Caenorhabditis elegans: one gene and its partners. The protein of the gene in region 2 interacts with the protein of the main gene of each other region in a pairwise test. Each region holds a gene or a part of one and is shown on either strand. Other genes may lie near its edges.

What was found.
Region 1: the proteins of unc-64 (region 2) and unc-76 interact in a protein complementation assay, tested with the Caenorhabditis elegans proteins (one study listed by BioGRID).
Region 3: the proteins of unc-64 (region 2) and unc-13 interact in a two-hybrid assay, tested with the Caenorhabditis elegans proteins (2 studies listed by BioGRID).

What each region holds. Positions count from the first base shown.
Region 1 is NC_003283.11:15,068,465-15,077,997, reverse strand, and holds the start of unc-76 (UNC-76), read right to left. Parts: upstream 6,239-9,533; 5' UTR 6,115-6,238; coding exon 6,029-6,114; intron 4,427-6,028; coding exon 4,345-4,426; intron 4,295-4,344; coding exon 4,176-4,294; intron 3,218-4,175; coding exon 3,112-3,217; intron 1,858-3,111; coding exon 1,681-1,857; intron 1,063-1,680; coding exon 906-1,062; intron 424-905; coding exon 394-423; intron 1-393. Other genes in the region: dnj-3 (J domain-containing protein), read right to left, coding at 8,530-8,566, 8,622-8,726, 8,781-8,902, 8,953-9,132, 9,177-9,308; C25D7.10 (TPT domain-containing protein), read right to left, coding at 9,524-9,533.
Region 2 is NC_003281.10:13,275,735-13,288,002, forward strand, and holds unc-64 (Syntaxin-1A homolog), read left to right. Parts: upstream 1-1,524; 5' UTR 1,525-1,634; coding exon 1,635-1,648; intron 1,649-1,693; coding exon 1,694-1,793; intron 1,794-2,832; coding exon 2,833-2,932; intron 2,933-3,500; coding exon 3,501-3,755; intron 3,756-4,138; coding exon 4,139-4,233; intron 4,234-4,482; coding exon 4,483-4,599; intron 4,600-4,812; coding exon 4,813-4,923; intron 4,924-6,489; coding exon of another isoform or gene 6,490-6,573; exon of another isoform or gene 6,574-6,606; intron 6,607-8,052; coding exon 8,053-8,136; 3' UTR 8,137-8,153; downstream 8,154-12,268. Other genes in the region: Histone-lysine N-methyltransferase set-25, read right to left, coding at 8,732-8,774, 11,224-11,421; F56A8.8 (NR LBD domain-containing protein), read left to right, coding at 10,083-10,688, 10,744-10,842. UniProt on the Caenorhabditis elegans protein: Plays a critical role in several secretory processes, including cuticle secretion and neurotransmitter release, and probably assists in neuronal membrane maturation or the final stages of neuronal differentiation.
Region 3 is NC_003279.8:7,419,299-7,428,640, forward strand, and holds the start of unc-13 (Phorbol ester/diacylglycerol-binding protein unc-13), read left to right. Parts: upstream 1-3,486; coding exon 3,487-3,559; intron 3,560-3,659; coding exon 3,660-3,689; intron 3,690-5,635; coding exon 5,636-5,735; intron 5,736-6,030; coding exon 6,031-6,141; intron 6,142-6,374; coding exon 6,375-6,505; intron 6,506-9,342.

The DNA of each region.
Region 1 (9,533 bases), on a different chromosome or scaffold from region 2:
CTCCTTAAAGGCGCACTCTCTTGAACGTAAAAAGTCGGTCGCTTCAAGACCAGGTACCGTATAACACGGTTATTTGTCGATTTATATTTTAAAAAATTTCGAATAACAAATTTCTTTTTTAAAAACTTCTATTACAACAATGCTCTAGGTAAGTTAGCAACTAAAATCTGAAATCTATGTGCACTGACAAAAAAGTGTTATTTCATGCTTTTACTGCTACAAAAAAGAAACTAAAGAAATTCACTGTGTGCAAGTGCAAATATCTATTAGTGTTGAGAATTCCAGCAGCAAATAATCAACTAAATATATCGCGATCTTTCTAAATATTTCTGAACAAAAGGATAGAGACATAGACGAAACGCAAAGAACAGACAAAATAATTGCACTATATACCCGAGTGGAACGCCGCAGTTTTTGCTGCTGCTGAAGAAAAGGACAAAAGTTAGATGGGAATGAGAGTGGGAGTAGGAGATGAAGGATAATCAGAATTTATGGATTACTATAGCTTATCGAGAGAGCAGCTACAGTAATCCTTAGTTGAGCTATGAGCATTTTTATTTATAATCTCTTAAGAACGGCAAGAACAGAGAATTCATTGTTTCAAAAATTTGAAATTTTCGCTTTATTACAAAAGTTGAAAAAATTTCATTTTCGATTTTACTTAGAAAAATTAACTTTTTTCAAAAATGCACTTCGATTTCAAAAGGTGGATTTTTTTAAGTGTCCGTAATATTTAAATCAAGAAAAAATTTATAACTTTTTTCTCTAAAAGATTTGAAAAAAAAACGAATTTTTTTTCTCACAAAAAAACACGGAAATTCGAATTTTCAAAAACGATTGAAACAAGAATGTGAGATAAAAATTTTTTTAAGTTAATTTGAATTTAAATTTTTTAAAAAACGTACTATCCGGATTGCTGACAAGGGCCTGTGCACTTCGAAGTTTAATATCAGCATCTGATGATTGAATTGATGATGGAAATGGTGAACGCATTGAAGAATACATTGAATCAACTGATTCCATCGTTCGATCCGTCATCATTGAGCCAGTGAAATCGCATGACTAAAAACGAGAAATAATACATGTAATCGCTTGTGGTGTTAAGGGCTTAACAAGGGGGTATTTGTTTTTGTGTTTTTTCTGCTTCTCGTTTCAAATAAATGAATAGATTTTCGAAATTTGACAGAAAGTAAAACACTTTTAGACATTTAAATGAAACTTATCTTATTCAAAATAGGAGACTACAAAAAAATTTGCGGCAGAGGAGCACCTTTAACTAGAAAAATAATGATCTGAAATTACTTTCAGTGCATTTTTTCACTAGTGGCCCGTGAAATTGCTCCAAATATAGATTAGTGCAAACTTTGATGAGTTTAGGGTGATTAGAAGTAGACAAACAATTTGGAAGCTTTTTAAAGGAAACGATTTTTGAAAAAAAAAATCCAAAAAGATTTCAAAATGTTTGTCTACCTCCAATCACCCTAAAAATCATTAAAAGTTTGCAAAAATCAATTTTTGAAGCAATTTCACGGGCCGCTAGTGCAAAAATTGCACTGAAAGTAATTTCAGATTGACTATTTTTTTAGTTCAAAGTTCTCCCTTTTCTGCTAAAGTCACCTATTTCCAAAGTCTTTTTTTAAAACATTTTTTCTAAAAGTGAGACTTTAAAAATATAATGACCTGTAACATTTCATCAATTTCTTCGATAACTTGATCAGCAGTCTGTGGAGGTGTTTCACCACCAGTATCCGTAGATCCATGATGATGTCCAATCATTTGATGAACATCCATTTGTTGTCGTAAAAGATCCTCATCATCGGAATTTGTCATACTTCGGCGTGTAGATGCGTCGTCTTTCTGGAAAAAAGTACAAACGAGAATTTATTTGCAAATGGGAAAATTTAGGGAAAGAGCAGGGAATCCAGTGAAATCAGTGAACCGGAAGACAAACAAAGGTCAACTAGAGGAATGTCTAGGTTTTGACTTTTTTCAGATTTTCAAAAAAAAAAACAGGGCTAGAAAGTAAACTTGTTTTTTTTTATAATTTGTAAGAGTTAAGAGAAAAATGATTTCATAAAAAAATTAGTGTATTCCGCGAGGAGAAGGCTTTTCAAGTTTTTGACTTAAAAATGGCATTCTGAAGCATTTCCGTTGTTCAACCTGCCAATCTATTTTATAAAAACAGTTTTCAGATAAAAAATCTGAAAAAATGCATTCACCATTGAAAAGTAACAAAATCTCGTTTTAACTAGTTTTCAGCGGTAAGTTCCTGAATTTTCAGTGGAAAAATTATAAATAAAAGATAAATTGGTGATTTAATTGCCAAATACAAAAATAAATAGCGAAAAAATGTTCAAACCCCAGAATACTATCCAAGATTATAACAGCTTTCCTCGGGGAGTACACTTGGGTTTTTTGATAATTCGAAAAAAAAGTAGGATTTTCGGAGAATAGCTTAAAATTTTTCCCATTTTTAATAGTAAATTTTTTTAAAGTTTATTCTCGTCAGCCACATTGAAACTGTTTCGATGACGCTTTTGCTTCTGAAGAAAACAACAAACATTTTCTTTAAACAAATTGGTTTGTTAATTTTTTTCCCCAAAATATGAATGTAAAAAATTAAAATTTTTTAATTTAAAACTTAAAAACTCTGAAATAAGTCAATTCCGCATTCCAAACATGATGGAAATTGGAATCCCGTGATCTTTCAGAAAATGATTACGGTAGTCGCATATTTCAAATAATGACAACCGGGAAATTGAAAACTGCCCAAAAAAAAAGAAGAAGGGGTGGTATTTAATGGACACCGCTCTCCACATAGTAAGAGTTTTCTGAGCATCGGCTCTCGACGCCTTCTTCTTATTCTCTCTGTCTCTCTGACTCCTCCGGTGAGTGCTATAAATCGATTGTAGAGAACAGAGAGAAAGAAGAAGAAGAAGAAGTGTTGATGCTCAAGTGGAAGGAGCTGGAGACGATGAGCGTGAGAGATGAGCATAGTGGAAAAGATAGATGGAAAAACAAGAAGAACGTTGATGGTGGAAGAAGGCAATAGTAAAAACAGAAAAGGAAGACAAAGTGAATAACAAAAAGATCCGGGGACCCTCTGCTCACCAATGAATCACTGTCCAGAGCTGCGGCCATCTTTTTACATATCGAAGAGGTTCCAAAGTCGAGAGGTTGAATGTTTCCAAAGTTTCCGGTTAATGTCCACCATGTTCTGCAATTTTAGAAATTTCTTAATTTTTGGAAAAACTCAAAAACAAATTTTTTATGTTTTACTACTAATTTTTAAAAAAAAATCCAAAATGCTCGTTTTCACTATATTTCGAATTTTTTTGAATTCTTAAAAAAATAGTTGAGAGTTTTGGCCATTTTTCTTATTTTTAGAAGAAAATAATATGTTTTCTGTGTTTATAGGCACTCTATGTAATAATGACTATAACTTTATGTGTCGATTTACGCAGCTCGTGAAGTCCACGACGAGGAGGGTTTTACTGCTGTTTCGAAAAAACTTTTGAATTCAAATTTTCGAGCCGTTTCTGATTTATAGCGTTTTCGGGAAAAGGATCTAAATTTACTTCAACTATGGAGATTTTTTGTTATACCTCACTCGCCACGCGGATAACGAATTACTGTAGCTTGAGTTGAAAAAAAGTGAATTTTAATCTAAATAAGAATTTTAAAAAAACCTGACGATTGACAGAAGTGACAGTAATTACTTATCCGCGGGGCGAGACCTTTGCTACGAAAATTGTCATTTGAAGTTGGAAAGCGAGAAAATTAACAATTTGAATGATAAATACAAAAAGAACTTGCGAAAATAGTCAAAAACTAAGAATATTATCCAAAAACTGTAAAATTGTCCTAGTTGCGGATTACACGAACTGCGTAAATCGACACATGGCTTTTTTTCGGGCTAGTTTTTTTTAATTCGTTCCAAAGTAGAAATTATTTCAAAATTGCTCCATTTTTCACTAATTTTTATGAAAAAAGGCTATAAATTAGTTTACTTTTTAATTTAAAAAATTGGATTTAACTACAATTTTTTGGTGCTATTCTGAACAGAATTATGAATTTTTACGATTTATGGAACTTTAACAAAATAATTTTAGATCCCAAATTTTAATTTTTCAACCAATTTTTTTAAATCCACAAATAAAATCCAAAAAACTCACTGGCTTTCATTCATAACTTCCTCTTGAGTACGTATCTGCACAGGTGCAATATCCGCTGTCGTCACCTCGTGGTCCTTCAGGCATGCCGCAATTTTTTCGTCAAAGTTGCCGACAAGGTCCTGAAAATAAAAGAATGTTGAAAAGAGTGTGACAATGCAAGAAGTCCAACCTCAAGGGATCCAGAGAACTCGTCATGAAGACGTTCCTCGTCGCTGTTGCTGTTGCAGTGATGTTTCTCGTCTGATGAATGGCTGAAAGTTACAAGTTTTTTTAATTTTTATCCTTTCATCTATTCATATTATGGATACGCAGAATAGAAAACAATTTTTGAAAGTGAAGTGCAAGCGCGCTCCACCGACAAATCAATATGTCCCGCCCCAAAACGTCGGGTCTCGTTAGGAAATTCAAACGTTTTAAATTATTTTTTAACCGATTTCATCCGTATTCAATGAATTTTTCGACATTGTGTTGCGTTTTTGATTGTTTTTCATGATTCTTATGTCAAAATGATATTTATTAATTCATATGAAGTTGAGAAGTGATAACATATTTTCTATTAAGTGTGAATTATAATTCCATCAATTTCGATATAAAAATATCCTAAACAAGAACATAAAACATAACAAAAAGTCGAAAAATCTAGTTTTACCACTAAATACCTAACGAGACCCAAAGTTTAGAGGCGGGGCACTTAGAGACTTGGCAGCGGAGCGCGCTTACATCTCGATTTCAAAAAGCGTATTTTTCTATATTTTTTCTGCGTCCCCATAATATGTATTTCTTCAGCTTCACCCCATCCTCTTTAGGACCCCCAAATAGTATGAAGATCCGATAATTAGATAATGTGTATCTTTTGGATGTGTATTGGGGTATGTGTGTGTGTGTGTGTGTGTGTGTGGATGGCCGTGAGGGGGTGAGAAGATGAGCTTTTAAGTACCCTCTCCTCTGCTGCTGCTGCTCTACAACACTTGGCTCGTTCAATTGGATTGGGGCCCAGTTTTATTGGCATGTTCGAAATAGAAAAAAGATATAACGAGGCCATCGAACGTATGTCAGAAACACTTAGGGAAGCACTAAAAGAAAATTTCTGCGAATTTTTCTTGTTCTCTAGGAATTCGAAGGACCATAAAGAAGTGCACTGATGTTCTTTCTAGGAATTTACAAAAAAATCTAGTGGGAAGTTATAGTTTTGCGATTTTTTTTTCAATAAATGCCCTCTTAATTTGAATTTTTCAGCTCGATAATAAGCTTTTTTTTCAAAAAAAACCTCTACAACCTATTTATAAATAAGGTGGTTTCCAAATATATATTAAAAAAGTGAATTTAAAATTTTTTAATAGGGATATTCATATTGATACAACATTACAGTATTTCTTAAAGGCCCAGAGCTTAAAAAATTGCTACAGTAACCTAAATATCTGATGAAAAATACTGTGAACCTCTAAAACGGCCATGAGTCGATTTACGCAGCTCGTGTACTCCACGAGGAGAAGTGTGCAATTATATTTTTGACTAAAAATCTGGAATTGAAACTATTTTTTTTAGTTTTCTATATTTTTATCACGTAATTTTTTTTCACCTAAAAACACTGTTTTAAACTTCGGATTTAAAAAAATTAATTGGTATGGTCCGAAATCCTGCTTTCTTGCTAAAAACTGTTAAATCCTTTGCAAAAAAATGTACGCTTTTCCTCGCGGAGTACACGAACTGCGTAAATCTACACATGACCGGAGGATCACAAGCCTTCACGATCATAATTCCAACTTGTGAGGGAGTTTGGAATCTCTAGTATCCAGCAAAATTCAAGATTTTTTTTGCACTCTCCCACCAACAGCTTCAAAAAAAAAACTCACTTGCTCAAATTCTTATTACTATCGATATCATCATCATCACACGAGGCGAGCGGAATGTCCGGTACTCGCAGATCTGCAGCCTCCATTGCCACCTCTCCAAAACGCATCGGTACTTTTAAAGGTTTTGGTGAAGGAAAAACGGATGACACACAAAAGTGTGGAAGAGAAAAGAAGAATGGAAACGACGACGACTTTTTGGGATTGAAATTGGGAGAAAGAAGGAGGAAAAAGGCAAACTGACGACGTTGGAGAGATGCAGAGACAAAGAGAGAGAGATGCTAGAGGGCTCCAGCCGCCAAACTAAATGAATGCTCTATGCCTTTGCTCCAAATGTCGTCGTTGTTTGGGAGAAGAAGAAGTAGAAACAGAGCTGCTGCTGCTCTCTTCTGCAGTAGTCACTATGCGCGCAAAGGCAACTAAAGACGAAAAAGAGACGGATAGAGACGCAGAGACATCAACGGAAAACCGCATATGTATTGGATCCCTCCGGTTGTCTTTCTCTGACCGACTCTCTCAATGAGAGTGAATGAGAGAGAGAGAGAATTAGAGAAAGAGATACAACAAAATGAGTGTACATTTCTTTTGCGGGGCGGGGAGTTTTGGTGGGGTGGAATATAGAGAAAAAGAAAAAAGACCCAACACAGAAATACGAAACCCCTTCTCTCAGCAGCGGCGCCATTCTTTTCAGGACTAAGAAGACTAAGAGAGAGAGAGAGAATGTGAAACAAGTATCCAATTTTTTTCGCCTCACACACACCCACAGATGAGCCGAGAATCGGAGTGATTGATGTGCAAGAATGAAGGAAAAGTGCGGTGACATATTATTGTGTCCACTCCTCTCCGATCTAATCGGTTCGCCGCAAAAATAGATGAATTATTTGTTACGAAATCATTTTTCGTCTAGTTAATATAGGAATGGGGGATCGAAGTGAGATTGAGTTTTGGGTCCAACTTCAGAAGACGTTTCCAATGATTTATATCAGGGTTGGGCGGCAAACGATTTTTTTCAGCCAAATCGGCAAATGTCGAATTTGCCGGAAAAACGGCAACTGCCAAAAATGTTCGGCAAATTGTAGTTTTGCAAATTTTTTCTGAAACTTCAGAATTTCAATTTTAATCCGCAAATTTGTACGCATCCTATGAATGTTCCTAAATTTATTTTGAAAAGGGAGCAAATCCTATGAAAATATCTAGAAAAGACGGGAAAAAATTTCAAAAAGGCACAGTTTTAAGCGTTTCCGGCTTATAAAAAATCCCTATAAAAATTTCCGGCAAACCGGCTTTTCGCCGAATTTTTCGACAAAAAAAATTGCCGAACGGCAATTGTCGCTCTTGATTAATACAACTTTTAATTTAAACGAGGAAATTTTTTAAAAAAATTTTAAATAAAAAGCAGTTTCCAGAAGAGTAAGTGTAAAAGTGACAGAACTTTGGCTTACGCTTACATATTTTGGAAATGTGGAAACCCGAAACCTATTCGTGATACGTTCATTGACAATTAAATAGGTGTGGTTCATTAGAAAAGTAACATGATCAGAAAAAATACGATTATCTCTCCAAAGTCATTAAAAAACTGAGTTTTCGATGTCTAACAAGAAACATACAAATTTGAAGAAAAATGTTGCATCTGGGTCTAAAACTAATTTTATTAGCCCAATTATCTCAAGACATGCGCCCGAAAAAGTTTGACCCCTTGACAAAATTGAAAGTTTGTTTCAGTTTTATGATCGAAATAACTATAAGAAAATGATACGAGAACAGAAAACAGTTGAAAGCTTGCAAATTGCCGAAAAAATACGAGTTTTTTTCTCCAGAAGAATTTGGCCGAGAAAAAGAAGGCGAAACTTTTTTGTTTACGACATAACAATGAGTGATTTATGCCCTTTTTCTGGATGAAAGAAGTTGGTTGGACTATGCAGTCAACGATTATTAGACCTCAAAGGGCTCTTTTTTCTTTGGTTTTCGCACCTGCGAAGTGGTAGTGCTCAATTTTCGAGCAGGGAGAACTATAACAAACAATTTAGTGTATGTTGACTATACCGGCGACTCGACTGGTTAAACTCGTCAAAAGAACAAGGGAGAAATTTTTGGAAAAAAAAGGAAAAAAGAGAGAAATTTTGGCGAGTAACTAGTGCACTTTTCGAAGAGCCGGGCGGGAGAAGAGAGAAAAAGGAAACAAATTCAATTTTAGAGAAATTTGTAAATTTAGTATAAACACGAGTGGAATAGTAAGTAGTATTTACAAGAGGAAGCTAGAAAAAATCTTTAAAGCTTTAAAACAATTCTTTAAAAAAACAAATTTTTAGAGTACGCAAACACCGGCCGGCACGCAACAATGCAGACATTCGCTTACAGTACTCTTCTGGTTTTCCACTAAATTTTCAAGCTAATTTCAAGTATTTAATTGATTTTCAATGAAGTTTTACACAATTATTTTACAATTTTCGAATCAAAATATCATATCTAGGTAAAAATCTTTATTTTACAAAACAATGAAAATCCTAAACCGGCTTCGAAAGGCGATCCGCTTGTAGTTTCCTGGAAAAAAAACGTTTACAGATTAAGTTTAATGCTAAATAACCAGGATACGAACCTAATATAAACAATATTGGCCCCTATTAAAGCCATGACAGTTGCTGCTAAAACGACGAGCATTCGATTTTTCTGCTTTTCCCGGAGGTATTCATCTTCGGGATTTCTGAAAAATAAAGAATTTACTGAAAAATTGTTGCCAGCGAATTAGCTTTAATACCTAAAATGGGAATATACAACTTTTTTCGAATTCCTTTTTGCATCAGGTATCACATCAGCACTCCATTCAGCTCTTTGAATATTCCTCCTCTGAGTTGACATTTCTTGAGTTTTATGCGTCGCCTGGAAATTGGAAAAAATATATAATTCTCAAATCTTTTCTAATAAAATACCTCCATTAAAAAACCGCCTTCTCTACTAAACGCTAAATCGTATTCTTTTCGTTTTTCTTCATTTCTGAGAACATCATACGCCTCCTTCACAAGCATAAATTGTTCGGTTTCAGAAGAACCAGTAGCCCATCCAACTCGCGAATCACTTTTTGAAGATTTTCGAGACTGGTCTGGGTGAAGCTGGAAATGTTTTATTTTTTAAATTTAAATCAGCTTTCTGAAACCTGCTTGGTCTTTTTCAAAAATGCATCTCTAATTTCCTGTCTCGTGGCAGAAGCAGAAACTCCAATTATCTCGTAGTAGTTTTTTCTGATGATGTATGATGCGAATAATCGTTTTTGAATGAATTTTGCCATATACTATTAATGCTGAAATTACCAATGTTCAAAAATTTGTTCAAACCTGATCTGAAAAACGTATGCTGCGGTTTAGAACCATTTAGAATCTTCAAATAAGAATATAATTGTTTTTTTTTAATTCAGTTTTTATTGGATATTCTGTATTTTTAATACATTAAAGCATGCAATAAAAGGGAATCGAAAAAAACAAAAACACAAGAAGTTTTTAAAAATTACACAGGA
Region 2 (12,268 bases):
CGTTTTTAACAACTTCCCCCACTGCCCTGATCAGATCCCTAATCCCACCAAATCATTCACCTCTCTGCTCCGTCTCACTCCTTAAAAAATGGTGGGATAAAAAAAAGAGTCGCAGAGAAAACCCGCGAAAAAAAATAGGGGTAAAGAGTCCCGCCCCTTGACACGCAAAAGCATGAAAATGGAGAGAGAGTGTGTGTGTGTGTGAGACGTCTAACTGTCTCGTCGCCTCTCCTTTCATCGTTTTGGCTCTTCCTTTTCTCTCTCTCGTGCTTTTCCCATATATATCGAACAGATGTGGTCTCTCTCTCTCTCTCTCTCTCTCTTTCACCGGGAAGAAGACGAGCTTTTCCCCCTCATCTCTTCTACTCTCTCTCTCTCTCTCTCTCGTCACTCAGTTTGCTCCTAAAACGGCTCCCCGAGACACACAACGCCTTCTATTCGGTGCTGCTCCCCCCGCGTCCACTCCCCTCCGCCTCACTTATTTTTTGCTCTTTTCCTTTTTTTTTCTTTGAATTCTCTATTCTGCCCTATTATCTTTTCAGTTTATATACAAGTAACCACGTTTTTATTTCTTTTTTTAGACTTGAAACTTACTTCAGTTACCCTCTGTCCTGTACAAAAAATTGTCAACTGAGAAAATATTTGTCATCTCTTTCTCTATTGTTTTGTTGTTATACATTAATTGATATATTTGAAATATGTAACCAAAAATATAAAATTTTAACGTAAAGTGCAAAAGGAAATACGGGTAATCTAATTAATTTTTTTTTTTGACTTTTCAAAACTTTTTTCCACTTTTTGAAAAAAACTACAACACTGTCATGTTCAAATGCCATAGTTAAACTTTTCAAAAAAATTTTGAGCATTTTTATTGTCAGCCAAAAAGTGGCAATTACTGACTTTTTGCCACTTTTATTTTAGAAAATAGCACTGCCGACCATTTATATTTGAAACATAAGTAAATCATAAAATTCGAAGGAACACTTTTTATATCGACAACTTCCAGATAAGTGGCAAAAACTGGTAATCTTCAAATTCCCAATAAATCAAAAAATTTAGATTTTTTTCGAATTTTTTACTATAATTTTTCGAATTTTTTACTATAATATGAAATTTGGTCATCAAATGTACATTTTTCGAATATAAATGTTTTTTGTTTAAAGTTGTAGTATCGTCAAAAAAGGCCTAGTCTAGTCTATATTTTAGTTTGTTCAAAAAAAATTTCAGTCAAAGTTTTGGTAAATTGCCGAATTAAAACGTACACTAAAGTACGAAAATAATAGAAAAACATTAATTTTGGTCGACTTCCAAAATTTTTAACACCAGGTTTTGACCACTCGAAAAAAATTCCCCTTTTTTTGAAAATTGTTAGTATGAACTTTTTGTGCAATTTTTAACAATCTTCATTCTATATAATTTTTTTTAAGTTTTAATAATCTGATAATTTCTATTTAAAGTATATTTTTCCCATTTCTCCTTTTTAAACTTTTAATTCGATTTTTAAATTCTCATTTTTCCTTTTCCAGACTTTCCATCAAAATCTCTTTCTTGTCTCTTTCCATTCACATGACTTTTTGACAGTCCAACAATAGGAACCACTTTTCGTGTCGAGACCTGTCAACAGGAACAACAACATGACTAAGGACAGGTGAGTCAATATTCTTGAATCAAGATAATGATGCACAAATTTTAGATTGTCCGCTTTAAAAGCGGCGCAGTCCGAGGATGAGCAGGACGATGATATGCACATGGACACCGGGAATGCACAATATATGGAGGAGTTTTTTGAGCAGGTACTGTAGTGGAAAAATTGGTGTCGAAATAAACAAAAATTATGGTTCAACTTTTTGAAAAAATACATGTAAATTTTTTCATTCAAGTCCACTTTAATAATTTGAAGTCGGCCAAAAAAATGTTTTAAACTCAGATTTTTTTAAACTTCAACTTTATTTCAATTAATTGGATTGGAATTTTGTTAAGAAATTCTCGAAATGTTTTTTTTTGAATTCCACAATATCTGAAAATTTTTAAAAATAGTTGATAATTTTGAACTATTATATAACGAGAACACAACATTCTGAGAATGCGTATTGAGCAACATATTTGACGCTCAAAATATCTCGTAGCGAAGGCTACAGTAAGTCTTTAAAAGACTACTGTAGCACTGGTGTAGATTTACGGGCTCGGTTTCGAAATTTATCGATGAAACATTAAAAAAATTTTTACTTGTGAAACTAAAGAAAATAGCGCACGTAAATCGACACCAGCGCTACAGTAATCATTTAAAGAATTACTGTAGTTTTCGTTACGAGATATTTTGCGCGTCATATGTTGCGTCATATATGCGTGATATGTTGTGCAATACGCATTCTCAAAGCGATTTCCAAACTGTAAATATTTTAGAAATGGATTTTGAACTTCTCAAATTTTCAAAAAATTCTACTAGTTTGAAAAACAAAACAAATTCCAAAATGTTCGCAAATTCTATGACCAATCACACAAGCTGTTCAAATAGTTGAGAAACAAGAAAAAATGAAACTCAATTTTGTGATGTATTTCAGTGACGTCCCCCCCATATTTCGCAATCTTTTTTTTTGTTGCTCTCTTTTGTCAATTTGCCTCGATTTTTATATATGTGTCATTTCGGGTGTCTCTGTTTCCCATGAGGGGGCGATTGAATATTCATAGTTTTTGCGCAACCGACGGCGACCTTTTTTTCAATTCATAGAGATATATAGATTCTATGGAATTTTGTTCTAGGAGCTCTCTGTGGAAATAAAAATGTTTGGGGTTGATGAAAATGGAAACACTTTAGTTGAATTTTTTTTGCAGGTTGAAGAGATTCGTGGAAGTGTGGATATTATTGCGAATAATGTTGAAGAGGTCAAGAAGAAGCATTCGGCAATTTTATCAAATCCAGTTAACGATCAGAGTATGTTTTAAAAAACTGAACTTTTAGAAAATTGATTTTTCAGAAAAATAAAAATATCGAAAATTTTCGTTTTCCAGATCTTTCGAAAAAATACCTGTAAATGTTGGCTTTTTTTTTTCTTTAAAAAATTATTTTTTTAGGCTTGGCCTTAGGCTTAGGCTTAGGCTCAAGGTTAGGCTTACGCTTAGGCTCAGGTTTAGGACTAGGCTTAGGCTCAGGCCAAGGCTTAGGCTTTTAGAGTTAGGCTTAGGCTTAGGCTCGGCGAGGCTTCGTTTTAAATTCTCCAAGAAAAGATCTGGAAAACAATTTTAAAAAGTTAAAAAAAAGAAAATTTTCATTGTTTCGATTTTTTCGGAAACTAGCTTTGAATTGTGACTCTTTTTTTTCTTTCAGGAAAAATTTTGTGCGTGTTTTCTCAGTAAAATAAACAAAGTTAGATTGAATTTTTTTAAAACAGTTTCGTTAAAAAAATTTCGAAAATAAATTTTTTAAAAAATTGTTGAATGGATAAAACAAGGTTCAAAATATTGTACTTTTTGAGACCCCCAAAAATATGCCACAATTTCAGAAACCAAAGAAGAACTCGACGAGTTGATGGCAGTTATCAAAAGAGCTGCGAATAAAGTGCGCGGCAAACTGAAATTGATCGAAAATGCCATTGATCACGACGAGCAAGGAGCCGGAAATGCGGATCTTCGAATTCGAAAAACTCAACACAGCACATTATCGAGACGATTCGTCGAAGTGATGACTGATTATAATAAGACACAGACTGATTATCGAGAGAGGTGTAAGGGACGAATTCAGAGACAACTCGATATTGGTGAGCTTTTTTTAAAACATTTTTATGGAAATTTTGCGAAGCAAAAGTTGTTAAAGTAAAAAAATCTAGAATTTTGGAGCACACCTGAATCATGGTGCTCCCAATGTCTGCTACCTGCCTACAAGGCGGCTTACGCCTACGACATATATGTATACCTGTCATAGCGCAAGACGAACCCAGAGAACATCGGACGCTTCAAAAAAATTTTTGTCAGGCACACCGACTAGTCGAATTATAAGTATCGTAGGCAGGTAGGCAGGCAGACGTGTAGGCCTAACTGGGGCAGGACAAAATTTTTCCTGACATTCTGTGCCACTAAATTTTGGATCAGTTTTTAAAAAAATTCACACAAAATTCTAATAATCCATTACATATTTTTTCAGCTGGAAAACAAGTCGGAGATGAGGATTTGGAGGAAATGATTGAGAGCGGAAATCCGGGAGTATTTACACAAGGAATCATCACAGATACCCAACAGGTTTGTTTTTTTCTAATTTAAAATTTGAAACAAAAAATTGAAAATATTAACAAAAGTTATTCCAAATTCGTTTTTTTTTTTGGCTTAAGCTTAGGCTCAGGCTTAGGCTTAGGCTTAGTCTGAGGCTTAAGCTTAGACTTAAGCGTAAGCTTACGCTTACGCTTAACCTTGAGCGCGGGGAGGCGTCCTTCCAATTCTCCAAGAAAAATTCTGGAAAAAAACCCAAAAAATGTTAAATAATTTTTTTAGGCAAAACAAACGCTAGCCGATATTGAAGCTCGTCACAATGATATCATGAAATTGGAAAGTTCAATTCGAGAGCTTCACGACATGTTCATGGATATGGCTATGCTTGTCGAATCTCAGGTTTGTGGAATTTTTGATATTACAAGTTGAATTTTCAAAAAAAAATATAGGTTTTTTCTAACAAATTTCTTAATGTCTAGTCTAAGGTAAAATAGAAGAGGTACTTTCCAACCAATCAGCGTCTTCGAGTCCGCCCACCCCGCCTGATTGGTCGTGTAATTCTCAGCTTGGAGGAAATTCAAATAATTAAAGAAAAATCCTGAGCTTTTCCAGGGAGAGATGGTTGATCGAATTGAGTACAATGTGGAGCACGCGAAAGAATTTGTTGATCGAGCAGTAGCTGATACGAAGAAAGCCGTTCAATATCAGTCGAAGGCGCGAAGGGTTCGTTTTTTACGTTTTTGGAAAAATTTAATATTGTAACTCTATTTTGCATGGATATACCTATATTGAGTTTTTTATTCATCAAAATTGATAGAAAATGTGTCTGGCAGCTGGGAAAATGTGGGTTCTAAAATTCCCAGACACGAGAATTTTTATAAATTTATTAATACAAACGGGTGTGTGCCTTTAAAGAGTATTTTTATTTTCATCGACTTTTCATAGTTTTTCGGAAACTTTTTATTTTCGCACAACAGTTTTGCATTCAACAAAAAATTGTCGTGTCAAGACCAACACGGCCCGGTAAGCAAGTGGTACATCCATGCAAATGCGCTCTACTGATAATTTGAGTGTAGCCAGGTTTGGGCGCGTGATAACGAAAAAAGCTTTTGGTCCAAAAAAAAATTCGAATCTATTTTCGGACATTTTTATGCATCACAAAAATATTGGACCACCCGTTTTTGAGATAGATGCGCCCAAACGTCCAGGTATACGGTAGACAAATTGCGTACTCATACAGTTTGCCGGGCCGTGAGTAGGAACCGTATTTTTGGCACAAAAGTCGGGCAGGAAATGATTCAAACATCATACCTCACGCGCAACATTTTTTTATGAATTTGAAAGTTTATGAAATATTAGAAAGTATAATGATATGATCTACCATTTTTCAAGTTGCCGCCGCATTTTTTTTTCAAAAAAATATCGATTCAAAAATTGATTATTGTACTGTATTAGTGATTCGTGGTGTACATCTGTAATGTTCCAGATGAAATGCTATATATTTGTGTTAATTGTTGTCATTATTCTCGTCATCGTCATTGCTGTCGTCATTTGGGTTATTGTTGCGAATGCTTCAACTTCTGTTGTGTTACCCTCAAAAACCTCAAGCTCCTCCACATCGAACACGTCTTCTCAACGTTTTCGTGTTCGCTGAAAAATTGTCATTGATTTTTTTTTTCTTAAACCCTCTTGCTTTCAAAATTCGGGGAAAATATTAATATTGGTGACGGGAATTGAGTTCAATTTTTCAAATCAATTTCTCATATGGGGGCTTTAATTTATTATGTTTTAACTTACTTTGTGTTGTCTCACTCTCTCACTCAAGTCTTTGTATTACGGGAGCATAAAATTCTGAGAATGCGTATTGCACAACATATTTGACGCGCAAAATATAACTATATCTCGTAGTGAAAACTACAGTAATTCTCTAAATGACTACTGTCTTTTTTTTGCTTAATATTAGTATTCTATCGATAAATCTCTTCAGTTTAAAATCGAGCTCGTAAATCGACACCACAGTAGTCAGAAGTTTTCGCTACGAGATGTAGTTATATTTTGCGCGTCAAATATGTTGTGCAATACGCATTCTCAGAATTTTGTGTTCTTGCATTTTTTGGAAAGTTTGTTGTTAGTTCTCAGCAGAGCGTGTTTGCAGACCGTGGACCTCCTGTGATTGTATTTTTTATTGTGATTGTCATATATTGTCCTGTGATGTGTTTTTTTTTTCGTCGTATTTTTTGTCGTAAACCATAAATGTTTCTCTCTAACCTATTTGTCCATTATTTTCAGAAGAAGATCATCATTTTGATCGTCGTCACCATCCTAATCGGCTTCGTTTCTCTGTGGCTCATTCAGTATATTCCTGGCATTTAAGCCCATTTGTTTCCCCGTCTAAACGCCCACGCTAAAAAAATTTCAAAATTTCAAATTCTATATGACAACAAAAACGGCTCCAATAATGAACCAAATTCGCTTGTTTTCTCTGAAAATAAGGGCTAAATATATCTTTGTAATTAGAGCATTAGATTAAATAGAGCAAACTTTTATTATCAAAAATATTTAATTTATTTATTATTTAGTTTCTTTCAATCAGGTACTTTTTTCATAATTAATCAACTTATTTTGGAGAAAATACTATTTGAAAAATCAAAGTGCAAACCCGCTCCACGGCCAAACGTCCCGCCTTTATAAATTGGGTCTCGTTAGGTATTTAGCGCGGCAACATCAGGAAATTCAAACGTTTTCACCCAGTTTTTCGTTGTTTTAAATATTTTTGCTGTCAAAATAATTTTTTTAAAAATCAATAAAAGCAATAGAAAGTAATTGAAAATGTTTGAATTTTCGAATTTGCCGCGCCAACTTCCTCACGAGACCCATGGTTTCAGGGCGGAGCGTTCTCAATTAGCCGTGGAGTGCGCTTGCGTCAAGGTTATATTACCGAATCTTGGATTTTTGCGCCGAAGCAAGTCAAATACAGTACCGGGTCCCAACACGACAAAGTTGCGTGCCATACAGAAATGTGCTGCGCCTTTAAAGATTACTGTAGTTTAAAACTTGTTTTTTCGAGGAAAAAAATTTTTAACTTATTACGGGAACACAAAATTCTGAGAATGCGTATTGCGCATCATATTTGACGCGCAAAATATCTCGTAGCGCAAACTACAGTCATTTAAAGGATTACTGTAGTTTTCGCTACGAGATATTTTGCGCGTCAAATATTTTGCGGAATACGCATTCTCAGAAATTTCTGTTCCCGTAATACAGTAATCTTAAAGGCGCATACTTTTTCGCGTTTAACAAAAACACTTATCGTGTCGAGACCGGGCAAAAATCACTGTTGATTTATTATCATAAAAGTACCCGAATTCCCGAACAAATTAATATTATTTTTCTTTTAAAAAAAGCCTAATTATTTCGCAATACATCCTGTTTTTGTATCTCCACTGCCTTTTGACCCACTTTTCGCGCGCTTTTCACACGTAAATCTCACCCCCGTTCTCTTCGACCAAGCAATAGTTCTTTTTAATATAAAAATTAAATTTAAATTACAAATTATTTCATTATTTTTTAAAATTAGAATAATATCGATCTCAAAATGGAAGCTTAAATATTTATTAAAAATTGTTTTTTCTACAAATTTTCAAAACTTTAGGATCCTTCCAATTTCTTACTGTAAGAAATTTTAATTTTTTTTTCAATTTTTTTTGCCACCCATTTCATGTGTTTTCTGTTCACTCACCACCAACCAACCAAAAAATTAATTAATCAATCAATAATAATAACAATAATGAATTTCTGAATCGCTTTGAGATATTTTTTTTGTGCAATTTTCTTACTAAAGCTAAATTTCAGAAGAAGATTTGCATCCTTGTCACCGGCGTCATACTCATCACTGGCCTAATTATTTTTATTTTGTTTTATGCGAAAGTATTATAAATTTTTTCAAATCTCGACGAAAAGAAAAACTTAACCAAAATGAAAAAATTGAGCAAAAAATACAAGAAAATTGGGAAAAAAAGTTAATGAAAGACTTGAGGGAAAATTAATGAAATGTAGTGGACGAAAATTCCTGAAATAACTCGGGCGGAAAAATGATTGTTTAGAACGGAAAAATTGTAAAAAAGAAAAAAGTTAATGAAATGAGTGTGTTTGAGGGGGATAGAAACTTTACAAAAATGAGCAAAAAATGATTTTTTAGAACAGAAAAATTGTAAAAAAGAAAAAAAAAGGAAAAAAAAGTTAATGAAATGAGTGTGTTTGGGGGGAAAAGTGATATTTTCAGGAAATTCAATTTTCTTTTCAAATCTCAAAAAGAAAAATGAAAAACTTTACAAAAAAGAGAAAATGGGCAAAAATAACAAACTCGAGCGGAAAAAAAAATGAAAAAAATTAATGAAATGAGTGCAATTGAGGAAACATGAATAAAGTCGGAAGAAAAGGGGAGATCTTCAGGGAAAAAAGCAGAAAAAAAGATTAAAAAGTTAATTGTCATACAGTGAATTAAGAATGAAGATGTATAGGGGAGAAACTTTCAGAATGCAGGAAGGGTTCCCATGCACTTGGTCGATTTGCACCTGAAAATTTACAATTTTTAAATTATTTTTCAGCTTTCCAGAATTTTTTTTTCAAATTCAGATATTTTTTCGTACAATTTTTTTCTGATTTTCTCTGGAAATAGCGAAAAAAATATTCCATTATTTCAAAATTGAAAAATTATTTTCAAAAAAAAGTTGGACTTTTTTTTTCAATTCTTCGTCAAATTTTTTCGTAGTTCTTTTGTTTGTTGATATTTCTGAATTTCAGAATAATTTGAAAATATTTTGTAGGAAAATCCCAGTTCACTCCAGGAGTGGGCGGCAAACGATTTTTTTCGGCAAATCGGCAAATTGCCGGAATTGAAATTTCTGGCAAATCGACGAAATTGTCGGAATTGAAAACTTCTGGAAAATTGCCGGGATTGAAATTTTGGGTTAATTGCTGGAATTGAAATTACCGGAACATTGCCGGAGTTGGAAACTTTCGAATTGAAATTCCCGGTAAATCGAATTGAAATTCCCGGTAAATCGGCAAATTGCCGAAATTGAAATTTCTGGCAAATTGCCGGAATTGAAATTTCTGGCAAATCAGCGAAATTGCCGGAATCGAAAACTTCCGGCAAACTGCTGGAATTGAAATTACCGGCAAATTGTGGAGTTGAAAACTTCCGGTAAATCGGCAAATTGCCGAAATTGAAATTTCTGGCAAATTGCCGGAATTGAAATTTCTGGCAAATCGGCGAAATTGCCGGAGTTGAAAACTTCCGGCATATCGGAAAATTGCCGGGATTGAAATTTCTGATAAATCGGCGAAATTGCCGGAGTTGAAAACTTCCGGTAAATCGGCAAATTGCCGGGATTGAAATTTCTGGCAAATCGGCGAAATCGCCGGAATTGAAAACTTCCGGCAAACTGCTGGAATTGAAATTACCGGAAAATTGCCGGAGTTGAAAACTTCCGGCAAATCGGCCAATTACCGGGATTGAAATTTCCGGCAAATTGTGGAGTTGAAAACTTCCGGCAAATCGGCAAATTGCCGGAATTGAAATTTCCGGTTTTCAAAATTTCTGGCAATTGGAAATATCGGCAATTGCCGGTTTTGAGATTTTTTAGCAATAGGAATTTCCCGGTCTTCAAAAAAAAAATTGCTAAATGCTATCCACAACACCAGCCAAACCCCATTCTCATCGCATAGGGTCACCTATTTTCCCAGCGTTCCAAGTTCACATACGCCTAGCTCTACATATCCGCGTTTCCACTGAAATCGATCGGAAAAACGGCGCGTTCAGACAATCGTGAGCCTATGTCTACATGATATTCATTCATTCATTTTCTTTTTTCTTCATCATGTCAACCTCGTCATCTGTGTGCAACACTGACTCCACCACCTCCCCATGCTCTTCACCCGACTCGACTCCCATGTCGAGTCCTTCCAAGCCAAAGGTGAAATCTGATCGAGAAATTGCCAAACTGAAGAAGGACATTCACGTCTTTGCGAGAAAAATTAATGAAGAATGCGAGCGCTTCATCGATAATCATATAGAGGTTAACGGGGAGGAGGACGCCGTTAACCAGAGAATTCCGACCTTCTTCATCAAGAGCTACAACTTTTTGAAAAAAGAAGCAGAATCTGTGAGCTACGAGGATCGCTTTCTCGACTTCATCCCACAATGTATTCGAATGAAGGTGACCACCGAGCAATACGGACCCCCAAACTGTTTCCCCGAAGCCGACGAGAATGGATATCTCAAAGATGAGCCGAAACGTTTGGCGGACGAACTCGTTCAGTTCTACGTTGACGTCATCGAGTACGTTCGGTTTACGTTTGTCTGTACTGGAAAGATTCCGATCCTTCCACACTCGTACTACCTGACTCTCTTCGTTTATCAGAAGCGTGTCGAGGAAAGCACACTGTTCAACAAAAGTCTAGTGAGGATGATTCCAGAAGTCTTGGTAAGTCTCTATTGAATATATTACCTAATGATCTAATTCATGAAAAATTTTCCAGCAATCAATGCTCAATGTCGGAACATTCGGCAACCAAAATATTGGAATAGACTATGTTACAGACTGCACCAGAGAACACTACAAGTATTTGCTTGAGTAATCATTTTGTTGATAATAACAAAACGATTGTCACTATGAGACCTTAATTTTAAATTTCGATAATAAAGTTTTGCTTTCACTTTAGTGTTTTTGGTGTTTTTCTTGAGAATTTTTGAATCAAAAAATATAAAATACGATTTCTACAGAAAATCTGTCAACACTGACGCGGGAATTCAGTTTTTAATCACAGCTTGCTTAATTTAATAGATTTACTATGATTCGAATGTTTGTTAATTTCATGTCACTGCGAAACGAAAGAAATTGGAGATTTTAGCTAAAATTAGCCGTTTTTCAGAGAAATTGAACCGTCATAATTTTTTTTTTGGAACATTTTTGAGAATTTTCATCATATTGAGTATATTTTGAGCAATAGAAGGCTCACCGGCATTTGACACTCGACCGTTTCCACTCGATACCGGGCTCGTAGTATGCAATCGTTATCTCTTCTCCTAGAGCGATGTCCTTGATGGCATATACTGCAACACGTGGAATCAGTGGATCTTCTTCGAATCGTCGACTGTAGACTTCGACGAACACCGAGCTGGGGTCACAGCTGTGATTGATGAATCGGGAGATATTCCTGAAATAATTTTTTATTGCAAAAAAAAACGTGATTTTGGTTTACTCTAGAGGGGGAAGACTTCCATTTTTCCATCAGACTTCAAAACGAGAAATTGTCATTCGAGAGTATTCCCCATTTATTTTTGGATTTTTCGTTGGTTTTTCGGACAAAAACCAAAAAACTTTTTTTTTTGGTTTTTGAAGAAATTAAATTATTTGTGGTATCGGTTTTTCGATTTTTTATAAATCTAAATATCAAAAATGTTATTTAAAATAACTTATTTTTTCGTTTTCCAATATTTCGAAAATAATTACCATAAAATTTTGCACGGAATTCTGGCTTCCCTCATAAATCGAAATGGCAGAGTTTGCCGAACTAGCCATTTTGGGTCGGAGAGATTTTGTGTAGATTTACGGCGCGTTGTGTGTCGCGGCTCGTTTTTAGTTGTAAAACTGATTTATTTGTCCGTGTGGAGTACACGAAACTTTTCCACGCGTTGTCCGGCCTGGCGATGGTAAATGGAGCGCGAAAATTCAATGAGGAAAGCCAGAACCCCGTCATTTTGTAAATTTAAAGTCAAATTTTGTTTAATGTGATGGAAATAATAGAAACTTCTTCTACAAAAGAAGAAAATTGGCCAAAACTTTAAGAAAAATCAATTTTTTTTAAATGGAAATATCGGGAAAACGAAGCAAAAATACGATTTTTTTTTCGTTTTTTGGTCCAAAATCAAAACAATTTTCGTTTTTCGGTAAAAGCGAAAATTGAATTTTCAGCGTCCGGCACACATTTTTCGATTTTTTCGATGAAAATCGAAAAATCTAAAAAATGTTCCAAAAATCAACCATAAAACATGATTTTTCAT
Region 3 (9,342 bases), on a different chromosome or scaffold from region 2:
TAAAAAAGGAAGTCTAGGATCAGGTTTCAGAAAAGGTAAGAATCAATTGGATCAGCGTGAAAAGTGGTGTTTGATGGCTTTTTTCGTTTTGGAGATTGGGAAAAAGGGTCGTATTTCTGAATGAATTTTTGATGAGTTAGTTTTTTTCCTCTCTCGGAAAACTTTAAAACTCGAAAAAAAGAATGAAACACCAGATTATTTTAAATTTCAAATGGTTTTTTTTCAAGAACTTCTCTATATTTTTCCATATATTCAACTTTCCATTAAAGACGATTGAGCTAGGCCTACCACGCAGATATTAAAAGTTAATCTTGAACGGAAGACGATTAGAGATTCAGATGACACTTGGGGAAATGATGATGACTGCTTCATCTTCTATCCCTTCGTATCTTCAAAGTGAGAAAACAATTTTTCATTCTGCAAAAACAATCTCTTTTGGCGATTGAATTTTTAAAAAAAATGACGCTATGCTAATTTTTATTCCTAGATTTATTTTTCTAAGATGTTCCAGTGTGTTAAACATTTTTAAAGAAAAGTTTTGCAAGGAAACCATTTTGAGATTTAGAACACCTTTCTTCAAATGTTCCAAAATTTGTACGGAAGAACGAACGCTTTTACTCTATCAAGTTTATGTATGTATACTTTTCACTAACAAATCAGTAATAAAAATTAAAAATTATTGATTTATTGATTTTTAAATTGAAATCAATCGTTGTTATGGAATTTTTCACACCTGGGCTATTTCAAATTCTAAGTTATTACAAGCTAACACACTGTGGCTTTCTCGACATGAGCAAATTGGAAAAGTTCAAATCCACCAGAATTGATGAATATTTCATTTAAAGCTTTTTATCAATGCTCAAATGTTTTTTCCGCTCGAATAAATCTAACAAAAAATGACGATGATGAGATGGTGAGATGAAACAAAACGTTTTTCTTTTTGGTTCTCTTTTTTCCTTTTAAAAGATTATATTAAAGATATATTATAGCTATATCCAACTCATAAAACAATTTTGTTGTACAAAACTTTTATTTTCAATTTTCCGATCAAAAAATTTATCCATAAATAGTGAACAAGTGAAAAACAATTTTCAATTATTTTTCAGCTGTTTGATTTGTGTATTTTATGTGCAGTCGCATTTTATCGATCATCATTGTCCGTCCAAAGTTATTCAAAATATTTTTTGAAAAATTAAATCGCATTTTCAAAAGGTTTCTGAGATGCAAATGATTTCAGATTGTAAGTTTTCATCAAGTGATTAGAAATTTTAAACTCCCGTTTTGAAATTTTGATTTCATTATGGCTTCAAATTTCCTTTCAAAATATCAAACCCTTCTCATCTGCTATGTTATAATGATTTGTTTTTTAGTTAGAGAAATGGTACAATTTGATATTTGTTAATATGTAAACATTTACGTCAACATGTCAAAGCGTTATTGTAACTTTCGAGAAATACGAGAAAATTGTTTCAGTTTGAGAAAATTCGATGCAAAATGCTCGAAAATGTCGATAAGTGTGCTGGGTTTTTTTAGAATTTAGAATATGAAATATTCAGACACAAAATTTCTGAGAGAATCTTCATCTTAACCGTTTGATGCATTACGACCATCCATTTAAAAACTTTTTGATAATTTTTGTGACTGATCCTTTTACAGATTTTCTTCTTCAAATATAAAAATTTCAGAACTAATTTTCGATATTTAAAACATGCTGGAAACTATCTAATTTCCTAGAAAACATCTTGATAATTAAAAATATCTTTTTCTGGAACACAACCCTTGAAAATGGGTTCTTCGTATGATTTTAAAACCTCATCGGAACACAGAATTTGATATGAATTCCCATAGCAAGTCTGTTTTGAAGCATTGAGTGGCATCTAGGTCTAGAAATTGGAATGGAGAGCACTAGAGCGTGAGAACCGTCCACATACACAAACACATATAAACGTCCTCCTATTGTCCATTTCTGAAACCCAATTGGTGAAAAAGTAAGAGAGAGAGAGGGACACCAAAAGAGAAATTGTGGTGAAGGGAAGAGTGGTGGTAGTGGGTGCAACTATCTCTGGGTTCTCCGAGAATTCAGTGCTCCGTGCTCCTCTAGCTTGGCTCCGCGACGTCTTCTGCTACTCCGTCCTCAATTTTTGCGAAGGGGGGAGTGGCGAATAGGGGGTAGAGAGCGGGAGCAGAAGAAGAAGAAAGCACAAGCTCATCCAGTCGCCGTCTCCACACTCTCCGTTATACTTATTCCGGTTCTCTGCGTCTATTAGTTTGAATCACTATCTCACTGGTTTCTTTAGTATATACTCCAAAAAATGCTACTTTTTCGCGCATTTTGCGTTCGTTTCTTTTTTTGGACTTTCTTAATCAACTTTTTTTGTGGTTTGATCAAGATTTTTTCGTTTAGGTTTGGAATTTTAGACAAAAATTATATTAAAGAGTTTACAGCTTTTTTGTCCATAAGAAGTTCATGTTGAAGTTTTGTTTTTTTATTGTAAAAATAATGTAGCACCAGTCAGGATTTTGTCAAAATCAAAAATAAAAGTGCTTAAATGAGACCCTAAAAAATTGTTTCAGATTTTTCAAATGTTCAGTCAAAATGATGTTATACTGCCAAAATTTAATTTTGCAAACTCTTTAATTTTTTTGACTGGTAACAAAAATTTCGTTTTTTTAATTTCGTTTTTTTTTTTTTTTTTTTGAAAAAATTTTCACTATGTTCCACTTTTGAATGTTAAAATCACTGAGTTACTAACACATTCTTGAAATTTTCTCATTTAAAGAATAAAAACAACTTTGACAAGAGAAAGAAGTAAAACAATATAGTTTTTCTAAACTTGTATTTACTTTTTAACCCAGTTTTTCGTATTTCATAGTAAAAAAAGTATAGAAAAAAGTGATGCATTTTTCATTATAATGCAGAAGGCACCTCGAGGCTATACGCATTTTCTTAGCAAAAAAAGGAGCTCATTTTTTCTGTATTTTATGACTTTTCATCATGTCATGCATATAATTTTTTATTCATTGTTATGTAGGAATTGAGAGTTTTGTTTTTAATTTAATTTTTATATAAAATTAAGGGGCTTTGAACACGTTCTATCTATAACTTTCTTTGAACAAAAACTACAAAACACAAATTTCAAAGATCTCTGGATCTGTCTGATTAGGCTGTTAGTTCTTTTGAACTTACTTACTTCTGCTTAATCCAATTATTTGTACCACTCATCACTGACCTTCAGTTTAACTTTTGTCTATAGGTTAAACTTGATCTCAAGCTTTAACTCTGCACCAGGAACTTGAACCTAAACCTGATCTCTAATTGATTCGCTAAAACCTTAAAATTCTGAAAATCCTGATCCAAAAACTCTCCAGGAGACCAAGTTGTTCTCGGCATTGGAACAACTGGTCGGCGGCGCGTACCCATCTGGGGAGGCCGCTTCCTCTTCAACCATCGCCCAAGAATATGCCACGTTTCAACAATCAGAAGGGATGGATGACGTTGGAGATTACAATGATGATCAACTTTCAGATGGCATGAGCATGAGGTTGCTCTGCATTACCAGTGAGTTGTTATTTGTGTTCTTCTTGCCGTCTCGAGAATACATATATACGAGACCATCGACACTCAGTTATGGACGAGATGTTAACATTGATTGTTTCAGTTAAAAAAGCACGACTTCAAGGAGCTGTCGGTGAGTATTTCTATTGATTTTATAACTTAAAATATATAGTTCAGTTTTCATTTAAAATAATTTATTTCGTTTGAAAAATACTGGAAATTCCCTGAAACTTGAAGTAGATAATGTAACAAATATTCTGAGAGTTCTGCCAATTTTTTGAAAAAAATCTGAAAATGTAACAGTGTGCCAGTACTGTTACAATTAGTCTCGATGACCATAGAACCAAAAGATGCTCCTGCTCCAAATACTTTTAAAAAATCATAGTCAGAGCTAACTGAAAATCAAGTGGCTCTTCCACTTTATGAATCATCACTTTATCTCAACAAAAAACTATTAACTTGCCAGATGTCTGAAATGTGGATCTGACTTTTTTTAAATGAAATGTCCACCTCCTTTGGGTGAAAGACTAAAAAATCTGAATAAATCCCTTTCTGCAAATCGAGAAACGATCATGCGTGGCGTTGCTCCGATTTGTAGTTGTCGCCTGAGAAATTCATCATTCGTGACACCTGTCATTCCAGTTTCACGGGGCGACCTCCCGAATAATAAATCTCATCGTGAAACGCGCGTTTTCATGCTTCGATGACACACGAAATAATGCACAACTTATACCTCAACATCACGTACAAGATGTGCTTAGTATTCTGAATGTATGTGTATGCACCCGCCTCTTCTATTTTCCCATCCCTTTTTTTTGGCAAATTTTAATCAAATTTTGGGACCTTTTTAGAGTAAGATAAGAGAAAAGAGTCGTTGAAGAGGCAGGAAAAGTTTAACTACATTCGTGAGCAAGTGAGTAAGTAAAAAGTAAGAAACCGGAAAAAAGTTGCCAGGAAATTAAACATAGAAGCACCGGGGGCACCTCTAAACAAGAGAGTAAGTCACTGGGGAAAACGTTTGAAATGGAATGACGAATGAATGAGGGCACCGGAGACGAAACAAGATACGGTGGACTGGAAGCTTAAAGACCAAGAAAAATGAAATGAAACTTAAACTTTGTTATTTATCATGTACGTTAAGCTCAAGAAAAAATTATGGAATTAAAATTTTAAAAAATTATTAAAAATTAAGCGAAACATATATTTCCAATGCTTTTGAAATAATTTTTGATATTTCATTTAATTTTGAGAATATAGAACAAATGTTTTCGTTTTTTTAAGTATTAGTAGTAAAGAATGTGTCTGAAGTTACACATATAGTTCGAAAAACCCCACATTCTAAACGTAAGTTGACAAAATCCCGCTAAAAGTACCCCATCTTTAAAGCATATAGTAAGAGCATATAGTAATAGTAAGAATACAACCAGCTTGTTCAAAAAATTTAACAAATCGTTCAATGTTTAGTAGCTTTTTACATTTACTATAAATCTCATGAGAAAGAACTTTAAAGATTCTTGATCTTTCACTCAAGTTTGAGCCAGAAATTGAGTTATAATTCACGTTGTTCTCTTTTTTTTTTTCTTTTCAACTAAAAAAAATATAGCTTCTTTTTTTATTGTTCCCCTGGGTACAAAAGTTTAACTGAGCGTCCCAGTAATTTTCATGAGAGCATATTTATAGTTAACGTGTTACATTCTAACTCTTGTTTTAGGACCCAATTGTTTTCAACTGTCCCATTTTTAGGATTAGCCAATAAGTTGTCCAGCAGTAAAAAAATTTTGAAGTTGCGATTTTATTTAGGATTGGAGAGATTTTGCAGATTTATAATCTTCTCTAGATTTTTTCAAATTTCTTTTTGGAAATGAAATCTCAACAACTTTTCACCTTCGTTTTACCAAAGTCTTATCAAGTTTTGATTTTTAAAATTTTGATTATCAAAACTTGGATTGAGTTGAAATTTTCTATAAATTTTAAAGAGGTTTTGTACAAGCATTAACGTTTCGCGCCCTCCCTATCATTAGAGCATGTTTTTTTTCAGTTTTTAAATTTTTGAAAAACAATTTAAATGCCTGATCTCAGATGAATTCAACTCGTACGTGACGGTGAAGCTGCAGACTGTAAAATCAACAACTGTGGCTGTGCGTGGCAACTTACCATGCTGGGAGCAGGAATTCATTTTGTAAGTTGTCATTGACAGGTGAAATACGGTAAAGGAGACCGATTTTTGTAAATGTTATAAAAAAAGAACAGCTGAAAATAGTAATATTTGATATTATGGAAGGAAAAATACCATTATGCGTAAATTGGTGTTATTTTGCCTCCTTTTTTTAGTTTTGGAACGTTTTACTTGTTTTTTTTTCATTACACTTACAATTATTTTATTAAAATAACAACAATTATATTTGAAAACCAATTAATCAAACATTAAGGTTTCAGCTAAACCACATCACCTCATATTTAATTAATTATTTCAGTGAAACAAATCGACCTGACGACGGAATGGTACTCGAATTATGGGCCAAAGGCGTTTTATGGGACAAATTAATAGGTGTTCATTATATGCCACTTTCGGAGATTAGATACAGGTAAAATTTTTTTTTAATTTCCAGTCGTCAGTTAAAATCACTCTAAAACCAATACTAAAATGGCAACATACTTTAATACAATTTTACGAAAAAATATGAACGTTTCTTATTTACAATGGAAAAGTGCAATTATTCAGTTTTCGCCACCTATAATTGTCGTAATTGAGCGGAAGTGGTTTCTAACTTTTAAAATTAATGTATCAGTTTTCTAAAAATACCCCATTGATTTTCAGCAATGCAGCAGGTTCGGGTCAATGGCTTCAAATGGATCATGAACTTGAAACAAGAAATGGTCAAACTGTAGGAACACGTGGTCCAACAGGTCATAACTTGTTGACTGATGTTCGATTTGAGCTTCCTTTTGGTGAGTGGTTGTTATTCAGAATTATAATTTCTTATAGTATGGATTTTTGTTGATATTCCCCTCCTCTGTGATTAAATCTTAATTATTTTATGCTATTATATATTCTTATATATTTCTAAATATATATATTCTAAAAGCCTGATCATGCTACTTGCTGAAGCACATTGAGCTAATTGCTGTTCATAATCAATTTACAATTTAACTTAATTAATTGCATTCAGAAACACCTAATCTAAACCAATTCAAAATTATCTTGATATTGTTCAAAACTGAACAAACTATTCAGAAGTTAGCGGTAACAAGCTCAAAATAAAAATTATCAGATTCTCCTGTATTTGCTGATAAATTCACAGTTGAAGTAATCCTTATCTTTAACGCTGAAAAATATTAGATAATATTTTACTGTTGAAAAAGTTTTGGAAAAACCAACGACAATTAAGATAAGAGTTGTCAATGTAAAGCAAATGGATGCAAGACTAAAATACGAGATTCCATCAGATTGATCCGTTGTTATTGATCATGCAACACGATAGACACACAATCTGTTACAGTTTTTTAGAATTTTATGAACATTTTCCAATATTCTAGTGAAACCTAATTGTTACCATAAGATTTCTGACATGCATTTTTAACCTAAAAATGTTACTGTCAAATTCCAAAACGTTCTTTCCCATAAAATTTTTGGAATATCTTTTTCTAAAACGCTTACAATTTTTTCTCTTTTCTTCTTTCTTTCAAAAACTGTTTCCTTCTATTTTTCCATTCACATCGTATCGGTTTCTTGACACGTCTTCTTCTCTCTTTATATTCCACGTTCCATCCGTTGTTTCTCCTCTGAACAATTCCAAGTGTACCTCATACATCAAAAACGTCGAGCACTTTAGGCTTCTTCGTCTCCATGATTCACCTGAGCCTTTCTAGTTCTCTTTTCGAAGCTCCGTGTTTCCTATACATTTTTTGAACCATTTTGCGAACAAAATTTGAAATAAAATAGAGAAGCAAATTATCAAAAAATTATAATGGTATCTTTTTTTCCTTTTCTTCCCTTATGACTCTTCATTAGTCAAGTGTGACATTGAAATTTCATTACAGCATGATAACTGACAAAATTATTTTTTGCATTTATTCTAACAATTTGATTTTTTGACTGGAATTTTTTAGATATGTCAGGTGGTTTAGTACTAGACATGTTTTGCAGCCAAAATTTTATGAGGATGACTCTAAAACTTCTGAAGCAGCTCGGAACCAAGTTCCCAGTGTAACCTTGATTATTCTTTGCATTTTCTAATTTTTTTTTTGCAAATCACTGTTTCAGTTTACATACTAATATTTGTTATTTTTTACTCTAAACGATATCCATGTCTCAAAGTTTTGTTTTGTTTTGTTGAAATCTCCATTCATTTGTTCAAAAATAGTTCAGTCGTTTCCAGTCAGTTACCGAAAGAAATCTGAACAAAAAAATCAAAATTTCTGAAAATTTGGAATAGCCGTTTTAGTCTTCATTTCTCGAAAAGAAATGTGAGAGAGTATCTGACAACGCTTCCCATGAGGGAATACTCTTGATACTTTGCACAAATTCGCCGCTCAAGAGCTCCGATGACAAAGAAGAAGAGGAAGAAAATGCAGATCACACAAGCAGCCACTTGTCTCTAAATCCCACTCAGATTCAGATAATTTTCAATTTTTAAAACTTTTAACTTCAAAGAACTTCTACTCAGAAGATGTCTACATTTTGAAATTTCCCGAGCTTCAATTGTTTTTTTTTCGAGTTTTGGTGATGCAGCTCAATTTAGTAAAAATACGATAATACCAAAAACTCCGTAAAACCTCGTTTTTGCTTCATTCCAATATTTTTGAGAAATAAAAATGCAACGGTGGTAAAATAACAGAGAATAAGGTGAATGTATTCAGATTTAGCTCGGCGATAAATCTTTCACAAAGCCCCCGGCCAAGACACTAATTACGAGCCGACTGACTCTGCTCCCCGTTTTTCGCTTTTCGATTTGCTCACAAATAATGCACGGCGGTTCTGGAGCTAGCTTCCAACGGTATCACGGAGTTCACTTTTTTTTGTTTTGGAAATCATGATGGTAGTTTTTCTTTTTAATAGGTTAAATCATAAGTTTGCTTGTTGCTTTTTGAATTTACAATTAAAAATGACCTTCCGTACTAAAATTATAAAATATATTTTCAAAAATTTTTGATTTTTTTATAGAATGCAAGTATTAATTCCTCAATTTTCGTCAAACTTAATTTTGGAAGTCGATCAAAAAATTATTCATCGGTTTTAATATTTTAATGATACTTTGATTATTTGTATGTCAAAATTGTAGGCTTTTGCACATCCACTGACCACTGACACATGACCATAGCAGTAATTTTTTAATCCTAATTTATTCGATAGTTTGACAATTGTCGAAAACATGACCGAAAACTTGAAAAATTCAAAAAAAAAACTCAGTTTTTAAATATGTTGGACTATTTTCTACTCATTTATGGGGTTATTCAAGTTATGTAGCAAAATGTATTTAAATACGTGTTTTTATATACTTGAATACAGTTGTGACGTAATTTTTCTACACTTTTTAATTTTCCGCCACTACTTGAATAACCCCATTAGACAAAATCCACCTACTTTGAATGCCTATAAAATGAAATTCGCCCAAAAAATTCCAAAAAATTCCAATGATACAAATTTTACTAATACTAACTGATTTTCATTCGGAAAATTAAAAAAACATTCCTTTCTCACATCTTGACAAGCTAGAAAAGGTGCTCGTAAAATATGGAAGTATTAGATTTGCGCCGGTGTGTTTTTTTTTTCTAGAAAATTGAAC